Linked DNA regions of Drosophila melanogaster. The gene in region 1 interacts genetically with each later gene. Each region holds a gene or a part of one and is shown in the gene's direction. Other genes may lie near its edges.

Region 1 (6,677 bases):
AGCGAATTCATTCCTCTAGCAGTGTGAATTCGTTCCCTAGATAGACAATAATCCCATCTCCAAGGAGTGCTAGCCTAATGCTTGACCTGTTATCACCGTGGCAATATAGTTTAGAACTACTGATAACAAGGCGACCCCGCGATTTGTGTGAAATTAGTCGATCGATCCACTTTAGTGAACTCGTGCGCCAACGTACAACAATATGCAATACCCGATAGCTGACACACACGTATATATATTTTATATAGACCTATATATATATAGTATACGAGAGACCGCTAATAGTCACCGTCTAGCAAGCATCACATTAAGCAATCTTGATGATATTCAAATACTAATCGATATTAGCCTAGTATCCTAGAACTATCTCTTATTCTCTATTTGTATTTCTAGTGCTATACTATTACTTACTATTGGTTCTAGTGAACAAAAGTCAATGCAGATCACGTAAATACATAGGTCTATAATTGGAAAACTTAGTTGGTCTTGGGTTTACCCGTGATACCTTATCAATGCATTTTCAGTGCTTAATTAATCTTTAGTTTTCAAAACATTCTCGTCAATTTGATTGATTTTAACTATATTTGTAACTGAGTACGTCCATTTGGCAGAAATGTCAGCCCTATTTTAAACTAGTTTACTTAATATTGCATCTAGAATTATGCTAGGTTTTAATTCTTCAGTTTATCGCTTCGAAAAACTAGTAATGAGTGAACCGACCAGCGCATAGAATATAAAATATGTACCTTTTTTGAAAACAACGAAGGGGCGGGAATATATTTTTTTAACCTTTAACGCAAAAGCCTCCGTTTATGATCATCAATTTCGTTTGGAAAAAAAAAAAAAAAAACAACAAAGGCTGTATGTATTATTTTATCCCAATACTTAACTTAGTCCATAGCGATACGAACTACATGTTTAGAGCTAAGAATCCCGGGTAGAATGCACACGCTGGCAAGGATTAGAGCCCAGACTCATCTGGACTTGGATCGCTGACAGCTTGGAACCCTCTCCGTTTAGGAAACCCCAATAAAGGACACTTTTGTACCGCAAATCAATCGTTTTATGCATCTGCCTTCTGGTTTCTTACGATTATTAATTCATTTCCAATCTTCTGATTTCTCTCATTTATTATGGCGCAATTTGGAACTTATAGATGAACTACATCTAACCTTATATTAATCCTAGCTAGCTACTCAGTTGGCCAGGCGCCAAGTGGTGGGTGCAGTCTCGGTTTGCTTTACCAGCTGCTCCTCCACATTGAGGTCGATGGCCATGGTGATGGTGGTGGTGGGCGGACTCTTGCCCTCGATCACCTCGATGGTGACCGATTGCGGCAGCGGCTTCACAGCTCCCTTAACTCTCGCCGGATCATGGCTGCGCATGTGGGCATTTAGACCGCCGGACTGGGCGAACGTCTTGCCGCACAATTTGCACGCGTACTTGCGCTGCTCAGAGTGGAGCAGCTTGTGCACCCGCAGCGCCTTCTTCCGTTGAAACGTGGAGCCGCAAACGTCGCAGACGAAGGGCCGCAAATTGGTATGCGATACAGCATGGACATTGAGGTCATGAAAGCTATAGAATGCCTTGCCGCACACCTCGCATTTGGCCGGCCTTTCGCCCGTATGGCGACGCATATGCGCCGTGAGAACGCCTCGATCTCGGCAAGGTCGTCCGCACACCTCGCAGATGCAGGGCATGCGACCAGTATGGCAGATACTGTGCGAGGAGAGCTCCTTTTGCGTGTAAAAGGTCGCGTCGCATTCCGGACACTTGTGCGGCTTGATGCCACTGTGTCGCTGGCGGTGGCGCATCATGTTGCCCGACTGGGTGAAGGGTTTGCCGCAAATGTCGCAGAAGATTCCCGTGTGCTTCCAGCGATGGCCGCGCAGATCGCGTTCGGTGCGAAATGTCTGGTTGCAGGCTTCCTCGTTGCATTTGTACACCTTCGGCGGACCTTTCCGCTTCTTGCTATTGCGTTCACTGGCGGATTTGTCCAGACTTCCGCCGTTGGCTTCGCTGTGCTTTAGGCGGCGATGGCTCTGCAGGCTGCGTTTGGTGTTGTACGCCCGGTCGCACTGATCGCATTGGAAGAGCATGTCCTTCGTGTCGTTGCTGTCCTTCGTGTCATCATCATCCGATTCCCCCTCCTCCTCCTCGTGAGTTTCATTATGCTCCGACTGCTCGCCGCCCGTCCAGTCGAGTTCGATGTCCAGCAAATCCTCGCGAGTCTCCACCAGGGTGTTCTTCATGGCCGCTGCACGCTGGTAATGCTGGCGTTTGGAACCTTCCTCCTTCTCCTCCTCCTCCTCCTCTAAGTCCGGGCTAGCTTCCTTTGCCAGTTCCTCATGTAGCTCCTCATTTCCCTGTACTTCGACGACGTCCTGGGCAATGGGATCGCTTTCCAGTTCGTTGGAACACAGCGAGCTGGAGCTGTTCGTGAAGTGTTTCAGCCGGAAGTGTTCCGGGTAGCCGTCCAACGGCAAACGCTGGTCGCACAGCAAGCAGCTCACTTCGTAGGAGGCGGGTGCACTGAATAAGACCTCGCCGCAACGCAGATTGTGGTAGCCACCGGCCACATCCGGCGGTGGCTGCACCTTGATCATCGCGGCTTGCTCCCTGGTCTGCCTGTGTGGAAGTGGCGGTCAACTGGCTCCGGATTAGCAGAGGATTCCAGCCGTTGGCGTCGCTTTTTTGTAAGTGTTTGTTTCAAGGGGGTGGGGAAGGGTGGTTTTCCCCAGCTGATGGTAGTGTTGGCTAACGAACCGCAGTGTTGAGCTTACCTTGGTTGTGGCGCCACATTTGAAATGGTATTTACTCCGATAAGTTCGTTATCACAAGTAGTTTCTAGTCATAACTTGGCGGAAAATCATCATGCAGCTTAAAGAATAACTGTTTTGAACAGCCAATTATCACTACTAACGAACCCTATCACTTTTGGGCGGGCATAGAAAAATTTATTTTTGTGTCATATTTTTCATGTTTTTTAAGGGGTAACATTAAATTAAAATTTGCAAAAAAATGGAAAAATTTTGAATTCGCAAATTTGAATGCAATTCGATTGGAAATTTCATTACGAGTTCAACGAGATATGACATACCATATTTGGTCAATTATTTTCAAAGTTCTGGGCAAAAAACTGATTATTTTATGAGGGAAATTCGGAAAACCGGCTTTTAACAAAAACAGAACAAAAATTTAACAAATTTTGACGCCAATTTTCATCAATACCTTGTCATATTGATGAAAATTAATAATAATAACATCGTCACAATCTTTTATCAAGTTCTCCGAAAATAAAGGATATGTAACGGTACATTCTGCCATTTACCAACGGTAAAACTTATCGATAACCGACCGCGCCTATCGCTGTGTATTCGGATTTTCGTATTCGAGTATACACTTTTTTTCGGATTGATTTTTCGCTGTCCAATTGGAGAAGTTCGAACGGGATAGGACACACAATCCCCGAGAGATATCCATAGAAGCGCCATCTCAGAGCAACCATGTCGGAGGCGGCGGTGCCAGCGAGCAATGCGAACGCGAATGCCACTGAAAAGATGGCCAGTTTGGTGCGAGAGGCGGAGAATTTGAAGACCAAACTGGAGGAGGAGCGCCAGAAGCTGAACGACGTCAATCTGTCGAACATCGCAGAGCGGCTGGAGCAGATCGCCTATGTGAACATCAAGCCGCGTAAGGTGCTCAAGGGCCACCAGGCGAAGGTCCTGTGCACCGACTGGAGTCCCGACAAGCGTCACATCATCTCCTCGTCGCAGGACGGACGTCTGATCATCTGGGATGCGTTCACCACGAACAAGGAGCACGCCGTCACCATGCCCACCACCTGGATTATGGCCTGTGCCTACGCGCCGTCGGGCAATTTTGTGGCCTGCGGCGGACTAGACAATAAGGTCACCGTGTATCCGATAACCTCCGATGAGGAGATGGCCGCCAAGAAGCGCACAGTGGGCACCCACACCAGCTACATGTCGTGCTGCATCTATCCGAATTCCGATCAGCAAATCCTCACGGGCAGTGGCGATTCCACATGCGCTTTGTGGGACGTGGAATCGGGCCAGCTACTGCAAAGCTTCCACGGACATTCCGGCGATGTAATGGCCATCGATTTGGCTCCCAACGAAACGGGCAACACCTTTGTCTCGGGCAGTTGCGATCGCATGGCCTTCATCTGGGACATGCGCTCTGGTCATGTCGTTCAGTCCTTCGAGGGTCATCAATCGGATGTGAATAGCGTTAAGTTCCATCCTTGCGGAGATGCCATAGCCACTGGATCGGATGACAGCAGCTGCCGGCTGTACGATATGCGAGCGGATCGCGAGGTGGCCGTGTTCGCCAAGGAGAGCATCATCTTTGGCGTCAATTCGGTGGACTTTTCGGTCAGTGGAAGATTACTGTTTGCTGGCTACAACGATTACACCGTCAACTTGTGGGACACGCTGAAATCGGAAAGGGTCTGCCTGCTGTACGGGCACGAGAACAAGGTGTCCTGCGTCCAGGTCTCGCCCGATGGCACCGCTCTATCCACCGGCAGTTGGGACTACACCATACGGGTGTGGGCCTAAGCCATGTGGCACCTTATTGTTGGGGGATGCATTTGTCCAGGACAGATGCCGTCTCGCTTTGTTTTCCCTCTCTTCTGATTTGTTTTTTTTTTTTTTTTTTGTGTTGTGCATCGCATCTCTAGGATAGTTAAGTTACGGATTCGGTGATCCCCCAAGTGTGTACATATGTCTCATGTCGGGATTGCCAGCATGGATGTCTTGGTTACCGCAGTGTTATGCTTACTACCAGCTGCTGTACCAAATTGAATCTAAATATATACATGTATATGCATCCAAGTGTAACCAATATGCGACTAGTTATAAGTTCCTGTTCGAAATAAATGTTGAGCTATAGACAAACTGGCTTCTTTGTGCGCCCATTTGAAAGTCCATGTTGGAGTAACGTGTATCAGAACATTTATTGTACATACGTGGTTTGTCCTAGTCGGAAGCAAGGTCTTGGCTTAAAACTAGCTAAACTAACAGATATAACAGCTTACACACGACTTCTACTGATATGTAGGTACTAATTTTTGAGACACAGAAATGGAAGGCTTCATCACTTAAATTAAAAAAGAACATTTGCGGCCTTAGATTGGAAAATGTCTAATACTATTTACAGATATATATATATATGTGAAAAGTTGGAACGAAAGAGTCGGGTGTCCATAAACATTGATAAGCTATCTATAAAATCTAGAACAGTGAACATTGTTTGTGGTGTATCTTGAATATCTTGAGTTATATGGAAATAGAGCTTAAGGCGACAGGAGGTTTCCACTCAGTTCGGTCAGTAGGTGAAAAGCATCTCGATGGGTTCCGCCTCGGCACCCTCCGTCGCATTTACGGACGCCTGGAGCTTGTGCGCTCGCATATGAGCGGATAGACCTGCCGCCTGGGCATAGGCATTACCGCAGATCTTGCACTTGAACTTCTTGATGCCCAAATGCAGATGCTTGTGGTGATAGAGCGCCTTCGGGCGGGAGAAGGCCGAATCACATTTGTCGCACTTGTAGGGCTTCTCGGTGGAATGCATGGCCTGGTGCTCGTTGAGCAGCGACTTGGAGGCAAAGCGGCGGGCACAGGTCTGGCACTGGAAGGGTTTCTCGCCCGTATGCGTGCGCCGGTGGACGATCAACGCCTCCCGGTAGCGGGATCTATAGCCGCACAGCTCGCACACGTAGTTCCGCTCCTCGCTGTGGACCCGCCGATGCGAGGTGAGGTTGTGCTGGTTGACAAACGACTTGCCGCAGTTCTCGTGCTCACACTTGAATGTCCTGGCGCCGGAGTGACCCTGCACATGGCGAAGAAGGGATCGCGAGCTTTTGAACACCTTGTCGCATAGCTGGCAGGCGAACTCCGTGTGCTCCTTGCGACGATGCTGGGCCAATGCTCGGTCCACATCGAAGGTGGCTTTGCAGTCGACGCACTTGAAGGCCTGCGGAAACGGATGGCTCATCTTTAGGTGGGTGTTTAGGTATTTCTGCGTCGTGTACCTCCTGTCGCAGTGTGGGCAGTTGTAGTCCTTTGGTTGGCGCTGCTTCTGCAGGGAAAAAACATATTCAGATATTGGATTTCCTTCTTCAAGTGCACGTACTACAGTTTTTCTACCTTAAAAACAGACTGGTGCTCCTCCCCGTCCTCATCCGGTTGATAGTCTTGCGGATTTTCCACGCCCAACAGAGCCTCCAGAGCGCACCCCTCGTTGACGGATGCGGAGGAACTGTCATGATCCGGCTGCCACATCGTATCGATGGTCTCCTCGTCCACGGACTGTTTACCCCCGAGCACCATGATGCGTAGTGGATTGCCCTCGTCCTGTTCCAGTCCCAGCTCCTGTTCCGCGTCCTCCTCCTCCGACAGAACATCCTCGTTGGGCAGGTACTCTTTCTTGAAGCTGTCCACAGCCAATGGTTCTGCGCTGACCCCTTGGAACTCCTGTTCCTCTCGTGCTAGTCTGCCCAGTCCCGTGACCGTCTTGGTGAGCGGTCGGCCCTGCTTGTCGAAGTGCACATTACGGATATGGCGGGCGAAGTCCTCGAATCCAAAGTGCTTCATGTCGCAGAGCAGGCAGACCAGTTGGAATCTATTCGCCTCCGGTTCGTAGAAGATCTC
Region 2 (7,724 bases), on another chromosome or scaffold:
CACCTGAGCCCAATGAAATTTTATGGCCCGACCTTGGATGCTGGAGGTGGTCTCACTCCTCCTCACCGCTCCACTTCGCTTTTCCGGCTCCGAAAGTATGCAAAACATTTGGCGAATTCTTTTGCATTTTCCGAGGACTTGTGGCTTTTTCGCCGCGGACCAAAGGGTAATTGGAAAAACGTGGCTGCCTAAGTGGAAATTAAAACAACCGAATGTTTCACATAGCTGGCGCCAAATCCAATTTGAAAGGCTTCTGTCTGTGCTGGCCATTTCGGTGGTCAGCACGGCCATCGCTAATTGCCGCGAAACACTCATGCAGAAACTGGCTAAAACCGCAGATGCGGCGCAGTGAGCGAGTTTATTAGAATGCACAATTTATGGAGCATCATTTAAAATTTCATAAACTCGCTAAAAATGTTTATACAGATTAAAAATGGCTGGGCATATTGCATGCTTTACAAATGAGTAATGATATTTGGAAAACAGATTGAATGATTCTTTTGATTCGTATCAACTAAATAGATGCTCATTCCAGCTGACCCTGTGGTGTCTGTTGGTTTTTCCAATTTATCCATCACATTTACAGCGACAGCCGCCCAGGACCGCCGAATGACACGCACTTAAAAACAGCGGGATACGCGACCAGATAGCCTGGGGAAAAAGGAAAATTAAATTTCCAGCGGCCGTGCGGTGGTCATCAATCAAACCACTCGTCACATGCTGTCGGGGCTGGCTGGTATTTAGCCAAATATACATTTTGCCAGCATAATGTTGACAAACAAATTATCATTCTGGCGGTCAACGAGGGGGCGGGGGCGGCAGGGAAGGATGATGATGATGAGGTGCAGGACGAGACGGGCTTAGCGTTGATTAAATGGGGTCATCAGCAGGGCATGGCACTGGTAACGAGCGTTATCCTTGCAGATAGTTAATGATGCCCAGCTGCTCGGGATATTGGCCATTGCAGGCGTACACTCGGACTCGCAGCTCGGTGCGAGCCACCAAGTTCAACTTGGTCCATCATAATCATTATGGATGTGTTCAATGGACTGCACGTCAGCGAGAGATAAAGAAATTTAATGACCTCCTGCTTTCACTGTGTATCCTCCTTCCACAAAATGTAAGACGAGAAAATAATCTAAATGAGACATCGCCTTCAAAGCGTTGGAAAATAGTTACCTAAGCTAGTTAAGTTGACTTGTTTCATCTTGGATCAGTCGAATATGTGTGCCAAACCATGGTGTAGGTCATCTCATTTTACATGCAACCCATTCGTTGCTCAGTTGTTACAACTAAATGGAGTGATTGATGGGACATTGATGCATGTGCAGCGGATGAAGTTGCGGGATTCCATCTCCGCCAGCAAATTAAGACGTCCGAATCTGGCGAAGAGGGGGAGGCATTTCGGATTCATTGCTTACTTTAGGCATTTTTGGCCAGATCAGCCACCAACACCTGCGGCTGTCTGGTGTGAAAGAGCCAAGTCATTTGGCCAAAACTAACAAACATACGCTCTGCACTGAAAACAATTTCTTTGTATGTATGGTAATTGTAAAATTGTAATTGTTTTATCAAAATGTAAATAGAGACATATTCTGTATGGAAAATAGGAGAATTTGCGGTTTTATACCCATAATTTGGCTAAAATCATAATTACAGTCAGTTTTATACATGTTTTTTGGAGCCTGTGACCTAAGCAATCGATCCAAATCACTTTTTAATTGATTTCGAAAAATTAATTTTTGGACCAATTTTCGCAAATTTGATAAGGGGTACCATCATTAAAATTTGCTAAAATTGGCCAAAAATTTATTTTTCAAAATCAACAAAACTTGAATGCCAATCGATTAGGCATGCAATTACGAGCTCAACGAGGTATTACATTCTATATTTTGATAAATTAATCCAAAATTTTTCGTAGCCTTTCCACTTGGGAAAGTGGAATTTTAATGGGAAATGGGAATTTTAGCCTTAGGACTTGGCTACCTTAGCAAAAATAGCAAATCACTTTGCACTGATAATCAAGATGTGTAATCTATTTCAATGATATACCCCTATTGAATTTGTAAACATGCATTCTAAACCTAAAACAAATTATTCGAGTGTATTGATAAACATCTTCCTTTGAATGTGGTATTAAACGCTTTGAAAGTGCTGTTTTGGAAGCGATATATTCATTGTGCATATGTGTGTATATTTTGTAAGACATCTTGGTCATTTGATTTTCCGCTTGTGCGTGGCGTGCACGTGGCAGAATCGCCGGAGTCCGGATTGTTTACGAATAGCCGTATGACAACAGAGAGCGAACGAAGGCAGAGCGAGAGGAAAAGATAGGGCGCAGGCGTAGAAAGAAAACACTCGGCAACACTGGTGAATTTGGGCGGGTTTCCGTTCGATTCCGTCGCAGATTTCAACGCTTTTCAAATGGAAACGTTGCTCATTGCTCCGATAAAATAAAAGGCCCTCAACGCAAAGGGGTTACGTGAGCCCTAGTCCCCAGTGCAACATCCCAACATATGCAACAAGCGGCCGGAGTCCCCGAGGTCCACGGGAACCCCCCCCGCCGCAGAAAAAAAAACCGCCCACTTTTTTGTGGCCCTTATTATAACACCGACATATCAGCGCGCACAGCCTCAGAAAATTCCGGCTGGCATTCAGTTTTCCGCTTTCCGTTCAGTTCAACGGCAGACTCGCGCGCGTACGGTTCGAACTGAAAAGGCGACGGGTCCGGATTTTTTGGACTTGTCGGTTCTCCGGGTTCTCGGTTCCTGAAATTCGCTGATGATAGGTGATAGCTGAAGCTGGCGGAGAAGTGTTGGAAAAATGCTGGAAAATCAGCTTAGAGCTGGCTGAAATGCCGCCGGCAGTCGATCCGTAAACGTAATTGAATTCGGCCCAGTGGATTGAAAATCAAATTCAATTTCGTAGCGAGCAAACACGCAAAAACGATAAACTAGTCGTTAAAGTGAATATACAAATTGGTGTTTTGATTAAAACTAATAAACATAAACACCGAAACCACAGAGCAGCAGAAGGCGAGCAGCGGAATTTATTTTTAAATACGATTTCTTTGTTATTCGCTGCCTGCAATTGGCTGACATTGCTCATACGCCGCGTTGGCCGAGCGAAGAAGTGGGGATTTCAGCATAGTTCCTGGTAAGCGGTCTCCCACTGCCCAAAGTATTTTGTTTTTTTTTTTTCATTCTCTTTCCACTCATTATTGTTTTTCCATATTACAAAAACATTGTTTTCGGGAGGTGGTGGCTTGAATTGCAAAGTTTATTGCACAAACCAAACCGAAATTGGTTTACAAGTTTATGGAAATTCGAGTCGCCAAAGTAATTAGAAAACTGCTATTTGTGGACAACTTTCGGCTGCCCTGGTAACTTTAGCTCGAAATGTAATTACATCGAGAGCCTAATCAAGTGACTAACCCAATTCGAAAGATCAAACTGTAGGCCATTCCCATTCATCCCGATTTTCCACTCAATTTGAGCAACGAGTTCCACGACTCCAGTGAGCTGAGAAATAGTTAACCGATGGCCAAAAACCATCACACCCAATTGACTTTGCCCGATGAAAAGGTTCTCCGATGATCTCAGATTTCGGAAATCTGGTCGGAAGAGCAAATCTCCTGGAATGACAATTAATTCGATTGCGATTTGCGTTTTTTAGGCCCACGGCGGAATGGAAATAATCTTTTTAAATAACGCACCAATTCCGTACATCCTGTGCCATAAAATAAAGTAAAATAAAATAAAACCGTGCGCATTGGCTTATCCCTTGGGTATTTTCACATGTGCCCAGCTCTGATGTTTATAATGCAAATAAGCAAAGTGTTTCAAATGTATTTATTTTGGGGTCGAAGGCGTTTCAGCGCTGGTTGTTTTTTTTTTTAAGCCATTTAATTTTAAGGGGAACGTAAATAGAAGCCTTAAATGCATGCAAACTTCCTGGCTGGATTTTATAGAGTTCATACACAGTTGATATTTAAGAAAAATGTAAACCAAAGGCAAACGAAAGTGTATCTCTTCGTTAGATGTTAAAACTTGATTAAGTGTTTGAGCAGTTAATTAATTGAATTTAATCAAGTACTTGTGGCCAAATGAACTCCACCCTGCAATCAATCGGAAATTTAAGTATAAATCATCAATCAAATCAAGGCATTCATTACCTCGAAGGTATTTCGCTTGTGAACTCCCGACATAATTGCCACTTTAATTGAAGAAAATTAATTCACTCGAAGTGTCCATTTCCAGCTTTCCTTCGAATTCGAAGTGAAGCGCTTTCAAGTGAATCCGCTGGCCAAACAGCACACTTAATTGCTCCTCCGAGATTCCAGACATCATCTAACTCAATCAGTGGCTGGCACAACTTTCTCCGCTTCTAAATATTTAATGTCAACTATGATTAGTGAGGAGGCAAAGTCCTGTGGTTTTAGGCATGTCGATGTGGGATGTGGGCTGTCGGATGTGGTCGGGGGTCTTTGGATCCGGATAAATGGCTGTTTGGCGGCCAAATGAACGCATCCGCACAAAAGCTTTGCCGACGGTCAGCTGAGCAAACCGAAATCCTTTCAGCGCGAATTGCTTGCGGAGGAGCAGGAGGGGATCCGAGGCCATTAGTTGGCCCCAAAAGGCGGCCTTTAAAGATTCAGGCAGGCGTGAACGGATGGGTATCTTTAAGCGAATACGAATGCGAATCAGTAATAAGTGAGTGGGGTGCCGTATGTTCCGTATGTCCAGTGCTGCTCCACAGTGCTGTCATGCATCAAAACATTTAATTAAATTGAAACCGATGCGGCATCCGCCCCACTGCTGACGTCTTTGCCCGGCCACACTGGACATTGGCCAGTGGACACTGGACTTTGGACATCGGAGCGAAGGAGGATGTGCTGCTGGAGGTGGAGGGCAGCATAGCAGGTCCTTTGGCGCCGGAGACGTGTGTAACTTCGGCTTTCTTCCCCAGCTTTCAGCATTCAGCATTCAGCTTTCAGCTGGACACCAGTTCACCATCTCCGCCCCGAATGAATTTAAATGAAGGCAGTGCCGGTCCTAAACAAGTCCGTGAATCATGTGCATATTTTAGCGGTGCTCAGTTGAGTTCGTCCCTCTTTTATGCAGCCCCATCGAGCTATGCAGTGTCCTTGTCGGTGGACAGGACGTGTATTCCACAGGGATAGCCTTTAAATAAATGGGTTAATTCGATGGCATTGTTCGCACACCCAGCACATGTGTCCACAAGACAATTGTCCAATTTATTGGCATTGAACAACTTTGTGTGTCTAATATAAAATGTTGCACATAACAATATGCAAATAACACTTGTGGCAGCATGTTATTTATGACTTTGTGAAGCTTAACTTTAATTTGGCATTTGGCCTTTGTCAAATATTTCATTTGATCGTAGATCCGAATAAAAATTCAATTTTTTCCCAAATGAAGTCGAGCGAATTGGTTAATATTTCCGGAGACGAAAAAAATCTATCAATTTTGAATAAGTGAAAGTTAAAAGCTCCAGCTGAGAAGTCATTCAATGGGCAAAAGCAATACAATTCAAAACTGAAATGTACTCAGTTGCCCCTCGGCCTCGCCACTGCTCCCCATCTTTCCACGCCGAGCAGATCTGCCAAAGAATATACACCGACTGGCAGATGATTGAAATGGGAGTGAGAGCCACAGCGCTGGGAATCGAATGGGGGGAATGGGGAATCGGAGGTAGCCTTTCTTCACTTCTGTCTCCGCTTTGTTCCTCAATTTACACATAATTGCAATAAATTGACTAAGTGGGTGCTGGGGCACTGAATTTATTGTAGTCCGAGTCCAGAGCTCCAAAGATCCATAGCTCCAGAGTCTTGGACATTTGGGCGGAACTGCAGCACCCGTCTATTTTCTCTTCTTACGTATTTATTTTTGCTCGGATTGCTAAGCAGGGCACACTGATAGAATCCGATAGCTGATAAGATAAGACATTGAAATGCCCACAGACCCCACTCATCGACTCACCAACTCACCAGTTCGCCAGCTCACCAGCTCACCAGCTTACCGACTCACCTGTTTGGCCTGGTTTATGTCCACTGGTGGTGGTAATTGGTAATGGTGGCACAAAGGCGATTGCCCGTACAACGGGGCGTATGCGTATTGTGGGTCGCACGAGGGCCGCAAGTATTTCTTGCAATCACTGCCATGGCTTTTGTGGCTTCTTTATGGGCCAGGAGAATGGCTTAAATGGCACATAATACTTAGGACTTTAGGATCTTCGCTTTCCCGCAATGCTAAGCAGCTTTAATTTCAGCAAAAGTATTCGAGCTGATTCATTGGTAAATACTTCCAATGCTCGTTATCTGTTATTGACCATACGACTTTAGAGGCAAACAAACACGAAATGCTCGACAATTAAATTCGCGGAGGCAACTTGTCCTGCCCCAACACATTCGATTGCGTTGCCAAGTTCACGAGGCACGCATGTGGATATATGTATATCTTCTGTTTATATAGTATTTTGGCGCTTTTATCACCGGGCTTTATTTATATATTAAGGGGATTGTTTAATTTCTGCGCTTGTTATTGTTTTCTGTCTGCTCTTCGGTAGGTGCGAAAGATAAATCCAGCTCGCAAATGAATTCTTGCTCCCGGCATCGCGAGCAGCTCATTAAACAATCATTTTGATGAATTTTACCCGCCTGCCGAGATACGGGAGCTACGAAGAAGGAGGAGGAGCAGCCCGCTTCCAGCGCCTCCAGCGCATGTGGCCAATTTGCAGCCCCATATATTTAATGCTCGTTTTGTGCCTAATTGTTTCGCCAGTGTGTGTGCTTGTGGGGAAATTAAAAACGCTCGTTTAAGCCAGCAAAAGGCGTTGGTAATTACAATACAAGTTCACTTTCGGAACCCCCAGAAATGTGCTTATTACGTTTCGCCTCGGCCTGGGCCCTTTACTTCACTCGCTCTGCTCGTATTTTTGTTTTTTAATAAATTGTTTTAGAACAGTACAGGCCGGCAGCAGGAAGTGAAAGTACTGCGAATGTGGACCGACATGCCACGAGGAGTGGGGTTGGGGGGAAAAAGGACGAAAGGGGGCGGGGCAGGGCACTAGGACAGCGGTCCCACTCCTATTGACACACATGTGTAGTGGCACACACACACGTCTATTCAGAGAAATATGTATTAATCTTATTTAAATCGAATGATTTATAACCAGAAAGAAGCAGGCACAATTCCCTCCATTTGTATAAATAGAATATTACTAGCCTGAATTGGTTTTAAAATGGAAAATACATATATATGTATATTAGCTTTGAAGAGCTACCCAACTTTTCTGCCAGTGCACTCCTAAGGGACTGGGCTGCCTACATGGAGCCGCACTGTTGCTGCAGTCACACTTCCCACCCACTGGGCCATCCACAAGCTCACAAAGACCCACCAACTATGGCGACTACCCTGGCCACCCTGTACTTGACTTGTCAAACACAAAAAAGGAAAACTGACGGTGGCGCGGGGAAGTGGAAAAGCCCGGACCTTTTATTCTGGGTCGCAATGAACGCTGCATGTGCTTTCCACGCTCCAGCGAAATAAGAAATACGAAATATGTGAAATGCTGTAAGCAGCAGTGGCGAGTCGGCGGTCCGAGGGGAATCGCTTTATTTTAACAAAAAAAGGCAGCTTTGCATTTCCACATAATCAATATTGAACAGATTTTCAAGCTCTAACTGTTGTCAGCTGAAA

What was found. Genes that interact genetically often act in the same process or in processes that back each other up.
Region 2: of Gbeta5 (region 1) and TkR99D, changing one suppresses a phenotype caused by changing the other (phenotypic suppression), as found in Drosophila melanogaster (one study listed by BioGRID).

What each region holds. Positions count from the first base shown.
Region 1 is NC_004354.4:8,148,973-8,155,649, reverse strand, and holds Gbeta5 (G protein beta subunit 5), read left to right. Parts: upstream 1-3,374; 5' UTR 3,375-3,506; coding exon 3,507-4,583; 3' UTR 4,584-4,919; downstream 4,920-6,677. Other genes in the region: CG18262 (uncharacterized protein), read right to left, coding at 1,197-2,606; CG10959 (uncharacterized protein), read right to left, coding at 5,353-6,105, 6,174-6,677.
Region 2 is NT_033777.3:29,964,415-29,972,138, reverse strand, and holds the start of TkR99D (Tachykinin-like receptor at 99D), read left to right. Parts: upstream 1-2,691; 5' UTR 2,692-3,156; intron 3,157-7,724. UniProt on the Drosophila melanogaster protein: Receptor for tachykinin-like peptides.